2 separate regions of the Mus musculus genome follow, and region 2 is reported to be linked to region 1. Evidence: microRNA targets listed by miRTarBase, many of them from high-throughput screens and not tested one by one. Region 1 holds a microRNA gene; the other region holds the end of a gene's coding sequence.

Region 1 (3,149 bases):
AGGCATTGGCCACTCCTCAGAGACCTGGCTTGTCTTTCACCTCTGGAGACACTGGATGGAGAGGAAGTGGGTAGGATTCTAGTGGTGGCTTCCGGCCACTACCCCCTACTGGCTACCTTTGTTCCCAAGGCTTGCAGCCTTGGAGACCTCAGTACTAACCTTTAGGTTGGCCCCTATATGATAATGTGAGCCTTCTACTCTTAATTAAACTTTTACTAGGTTTCCTGCATTAAGAAAGCCATAGTAAGCTTAGTGTAGGTGCACACCTGTGATCCCAGCACTTAGAAGGTGGGGTGGGGGGCAGGAGAATCAAGAGTTCTAAGTCAGCCTATATCACAGCGCACTCGCGCTTACGCGCGCCCCCCACCCCCACACACCACACTAAACAAACAAACAAAACCTCTATGATGAGACACTGTGACACCCCAGAGTCTGGAAAGAGAGCACTATCCACTTCTACCTCTGCCCAGGTATGGGAACCTGGGGTGAGACTGAAGAGAGGAGGTCAAAGTAGCTGTGACTGTCACAAGAGCATCCTAACCTGGCCCCACTGATGACATCTCGGACCTTCAGCTTTGACCTCCCTTTTTGCTGGCCATTAATCACTATCCTCCTGCAAAGGCACTGACTGGGGAGGGACAGGGAGCACTGAGGGGCCAGAGGCCCACCCTGTCAGTTTTTAAGAGACCACCATGCAGCTAGAACCTCGGACAGCGAGTGGAGGGCCAAGGAGAGGAAACTCAGGGGAGAATAAGTGAGACTGAAAGGCGGGCGTGATTCTGGTGTCTTCACACAAGATCTGAGTGCTTTGTGTGAATTGATCAGTGGGACAGACCAACTGAATGGACTTTTAGTCTGGTGTCAAGACACTGCCCTTGTAGGTGGGAAAACACGGCTTCACCTTTTCTCACACACGCTTTTGTTTGCTTGCTTTGTTGCTTTTTTTTTTTTTTTGGAGTCAGGGTTTCTCTGTGTAACTTTGGCTGTCACACAACTCACTTTGTAGACCAGGGTGACTGGGAACTCAGAGATCTTCCTACCTCTACCTCCTGATAGGACTAAAGGTGTGGGCCAACATGCCCAGCACACTTTTATTCTTAGATTGGTTTATTTTCATTTTATGTATATGAGTGTTTTGAATATATATATATATATATATACATATACATATATATATATATATATAGAGAGAGAGAGAGAGAGAGAGAGAGTGCTTGGTTGCTTGGTACCTACATTTCCAGAAGAGGGTGTTGGATCACTTGGAACTGGTTTTTTGAGACAGGGTTTCTCTGTATAGTCCTGGCTGTCCTGGAACTCACTCTGTAGACCAGGCCGGTCTTTAACTCAGAAATCCGCCTGCCTCTGCCTCCCATGTACTGGGATTAAAGGCGTGTGCCACCACCGCCCGGCTGAGACAGCATCTTTTACTGAACCTATAGGTCACTGCTTCAATGGGCTGGCTGACCAGTGAGTCCCAGGATTCCAAATTTCTGCCTCTCCAGCAATAGGATGGCACTGCATTGAGCCAGGCTTCATATGCAGGTCCTTAGATGACTAACTGACTCCCTATCTCCTTAGCTGGTATTTTGATTTCATGGACAGCAGTGCCATTTCATAACGTAAAAAGGTTGTCCATGGAGCTGGAGATTTAGCTAAATGGACAGGGTTTAGTCCCCAGAACAGGGTAAGAAAACAAGCTGGACATAGCCGAAGGCTAAAATACCCCACAGTGAAAGGAGGCACTCTTGAGAGACCAGGAGGAGTTCTAGCAGGGCCCCTGAAGCACGCAGCTTGACCTTCCAACCACCACAAACCAAGAATGCTGGATGAACAGTTCTTAAGGAGTTACTAATGGAAGAATAATCCCTGAGCTACTGGGTGTGGTTACCATGCCTTTAATCCCAGCACTCAGGAGGCAGAGGCAGGCTGATCTCTGTGAATTTAAGGCCAGCCTGGTCTACAAAGTGAGTCCAGGACAGCCAGGGCTCTATTACACAAAGAAACCCTGTCTCAATAAAACCATAAACAAATAAATGCCCTCAAACTAAACTGCCACCTCTCCCCAGCCCATGCCCCCAACAGCTTCAGGACAAATCATTTTAGCTGAGGCAACGGAGTCTTGTTAGCTGGTACTGAGCCATCAACATCAACAGTGTTCCTTACTTTCTTGTCCAGCTGGTACCACCTCCCCTTACACTCCAGCCTTGGATAACAAACCAGCAACCAGAAGGAAGGTGTGATGGTGTGAGCCTGTCATCTGATTAATTAGGAATCTAAGAAAAATTATGAGTTCAAGGCCAGGCTGAACTATATATAACACATGCTGGATAAGGCTCAAGTTGTACCCTTTAGCTTGATGGATGCTCACCCTCCCTCATCCCAGCCCCTTCCCTGTCTGTTCTAGATACAACCCTCAGTTCTATATTACTCTGTTCCCAGCAACGGAGGAGAGGGGAGGGAGGCGGGGGAGAGAGCTAATTGTGACGTCCATCTCTGAGAGAGATGGTAGCCAGGGTATCAGCAGTGCAAGTGTGACCCTGTCTCAAAATACAAACTAAAACCAAGCCAAATAAATGGGCCTTGGCATGTAGCCCTGTTGGCAGAGAGCTTGGGTAAGTCAGACGTGGTGGTAGAGGCTTGACACTCAGGACTTACCATGTAGAAGCAGGAAAATCATAGTTTCTAGGTCTTCTTTGATTACATAGTGAGTTTAAACTATTCCAGGCTAAAGGAGACTTTGTCTCAAAACAAATAAACACACTAAGGTGGGCTCTGGATGGATGTCCACTCTGGTGACCCTAGAAAAAATGTGCAGTGTAGACCAGGAAGACAGTTCTGTGGGTAAGAGCAGCCTGTGTGAAAGCAACAGGATCTGAGTTCAAATCCCCAGCACTCATGTTAAGTTGAGTACGGCTGCACGCATCTGAAGCCCCAACTTCATGGGCTGAGGTAAGCAGATCCTGGAAGCTCACCGCTGAGCCACCCTAGCCAAGATGGCAAGATCTAGGGTCAATGTGAGACCCTGTCTCAAAAATAATAATAATAATAATAATAATAATAATAATAATAATAATAATAACATGATGAACTGGGCAGGGTGGTGCACACCTTTAATCCCAGCTCTTGGGAGGCAGAGGCAGACGGATCTT
Region 2 (3,000 bases), not on the chromosome of region 1:
CCAAACACTGAGAGTGCTCACCCTCGAGGAGTGCAACATCACAGACAGCCATGTTAACATGATGATTCTGGGCCTTAGCCCTTGCAGCCAGCTCCAGCAGTTCAAGTTTCTTGGAAACCCGCTCTCAGGCAGTGCTCTCCGGCGCCTTTTTGCTGCACTCTGCGAACTCCCTAGGCTTCGCCATATTGAGTTCCCAGTACCAAAGGACTGCTACCCCGAGGGTGCCATCTACCCTCAGGATGAACTGTCAGTGTCCAAATTCGACCAACAGAAATACGACGTGATTGCAGAGGATCTTCGAGCAGTACTGCTTCGAGCTAACCGGGAGGACATCCAGGTCTCCACCCCACTTTTTGGAAGTTTTGATCCAGACATTCATGAAACCAGCAATGAACTTGGTACTTTTTTGCTGCAAGCTTTCAAAACTGCTTTGGAAAACTTTTCCAGAGCACTAGAACAAATGGAGTAGGTCCTGGAATCGTGCTGTAAGAGGCTGTGCATTTCTAGTGCCCTGAGGTCAGTCCTGGACCAGATGATCAGGCTCAACCATTTGTCACCAGCAGCAACACTGCCACAAGATTTCCTCAGAGAAAACTGCAGGCGTACTCGTTACGTGCTCTAAGAGGAAGCCAGATACATAAATGAGACATGAGGTGCTCCTGTGTGTTAGCACAGCAAGATCTTAAAGCAGAGGAGAAGCCACCTTACACCAAGACAGAAGGTGGAGAATGTGGTCACCAGGGCAGGATGTAGTGGGAACAGGGTCAACTACTTAGCTCTGATGCTGTGAGGGGAAGAAATGAGAAAATTCACCACATGTATATCAAAATGTATAGAAACAGCAGCTCATAAAAAATAGACACTGAGCCGGACGTGGTCGCGCACGCCTTTAATCCCAGCACTCGGGAGGCAGGGGCAGGTGGATTTCTGAGTTTGAGGCCAGCCTGGTCTACAAAGTGAGTTCTAGGACAGCCAGGGCTACACAGAGAAACCCTGTCTTGAGGAAAACCAAAAACAAAAAACAAACAAACAAAAAAAAGACATTGAAAATAAAAATGAACCAGACCCCTGAGCTAGCAGTTTAGTTATGTTCTATCTGCTGTGTATTTTACCAGATGACATCGGCTACACAGAAATGTGGGGGATGGGGTGATGATCAGTTTTCTATCGGTGGCTGTTTGGGCTTTGTTTCCACCTGCAGCAGATTTTTATCGTCTTTTGGTGACTGAGGACATCTAGTCACTGAAATATGCCCAGTGTTTCTTGGCATACTCTGATCTGCTTTCTGCTTAGAGTTCAGACTGTAAGACAGGCATGTCTAACCTGAACAGTCTATGCAGTCACATGTGACAGAGGATAGCTATGAACGTAGCGCATTACAAAGTTGGAAACTTACTGAAGACACTGAGATGATTTTTTTGAAACTCGTGACTCAGTTTTCAAGAATGAGCTTTGTAAATGTTAACATATCTATAAGGCACACGAATCACTGCTCCTCCTCAGAATGGCTGAGGCCTGGCCCTTTGCAACTCCTTTGAGAAACAAATCATCACGTAAGAAAGACTCGTTTAGACTTTATTTCCAGTATTTGCTTTGCCAAAGTACTACTGTAATGAAATGCTAATAAAATAGGAGTGTGGCTAAACTCATGTACAGTTTATTTACGTAATAATCTAAACTTTAAAACTTAAGAGTGTGAAAATAATTCTTTTGTGACTGAAGTAAAAAACTTAGCTCTATAACCATCCGTGTGCCAACCAAGGGACTTGACTCCCACTTGTAGTCCTTCTCCATGTGACCCTTCTCAGGTACCTCCCCATTTCAGGACCTCCTCTCACAGGTAAACCATTCCAGATCCTCCTGTGCTGTCTCTACCCCCAAGGTCTGTCTACTTCCACTTGACCCCGAACAGCAATAAAATATGCTACTAACATTTTCAGTTGAAAAAGACAGAAAGCATACTTAGGATGGAAGGCGGGCATGCCACAGACTCAAACAGTGATGTGATTCCCCTGGAAAATGTGTCATTTTAAAAGATAAATCTTAGAGAAAGCCATGAGGTGGTCTGTCCAAGATCACATGGGCAAACCAGTGGAGTAACAGAAAACTAGAGCCTATGTGGCTTCCTTCAATGGTCTAATGAATTAGGAAACACAATCTTAAAAAACTGTTTCTTAGATGTACTAGAAAAAAATAACTTCTCAAAAGACTGGTAATACAGCAGAAAGACATGGTAAATAGCTACGGACAAGAGCTTTATCTGAAGGTGGAATTACCTGGCTTCTGCTCAGAGTGCCTGCTATCAGCTCTGTCAAGGTAGTTCTGAAAACTAAATGTGGAATAGGAAGCGGGCCAAGTGCTCCTTAACCATTCTATAACTGAACTGTTTTCTGGGTAAGTATTTTCAAGTTTGCCATCTCTCTACACAGAAAGATATGCACAGGGTAGAATATAGGATCTGAACACAAACTGACTACTTTGTTCACTTCCTGCATGGCTACTGACAAATAACCACACACAGGTTCCAATGTCTGTAAATCAAACACCCAACTCAGATCCACTCCACAAAATACTACCTATGACCTAGACAGATTGCTTTCTCCATATTAAGGCTCTCTATCCCCATCCTCTGTAAAATAAGGCTATGTGGGAAAGCTCACTTAACAGACTTCATAGTGCATCCTCACACAAGGCTAGTCCCTAATAGGTGTCTAGATGCTGGGAGTTCCCAGTGCTGGTAACTAGCAAGAGTGATTCACCATACCTAAACTGCTTACAGACTATGAGTGACTTCTACCACTTGCCTTCCTGTGGGAATGGAACTGCTGTGAAAGGTCACATGAATAGATCTCACTCTATCAAAATCTTGATAGTCTCCAGTGAGCTTTCCTGGGAATTTGTTGTGTTTCTAGTTATACCCCTAAACTAAACAATGCTCCCTGGGATTCCACAGTGTAACCCCTGGTGGCTCCATCTGGCTCCCTCTAGATTCTTCTACAT

What was found. Region 1 holds the annotated microRNA mmu-miR-3470a (UCACUUUGUAGACCAGGCUGG, at 1,948-1,968, opposite strand). A microRNA usually pairs through its seed, bases 2 to 8, with sites in the 3' UTR of a target mRNA and lowers its output. Matches are read on the target gene's strand: a 7mer-m8 pairs with bases 2 to 8, a 7mer-A1 pairs with bases 2 to 7 and ends in A, and an 8mer does both.
Region 2: miRTarBase lists Lrrc14b as a target of mmu-miR-3470a. Seed matches in the 3' UTR shown: 8mer at 953-960.

What each region holds. Positions count from the first base shown.
Region 1 is chr6:83,088,413-83,091,561 of GRCm38, forward strand. Mir3470a (microRNA 3470a) reads right to left here and starts at 1,975; the gene lies at 1,899-1,975.
Region 2 is chr13:74,358,223-74,361,222 of GRCm38, reverse strand. Lrrc14b (leucine rich repeat containing 14B) reads left to right here. Exons shown (of 2, transcript NM_001033042.3): 2 at 1-1,641. The coding sequence ends at 469. It overlaps Ccdc127 (coiled-coil domain containing 127), which reads right to left. Exons shown (of 3, transcript NM_001168659.1): 3 at 1,555-3,000. Among named protein-coding and RNA genes, the nearest start is that of Lrrc14b, 4.3 kb to the left of the region's middle.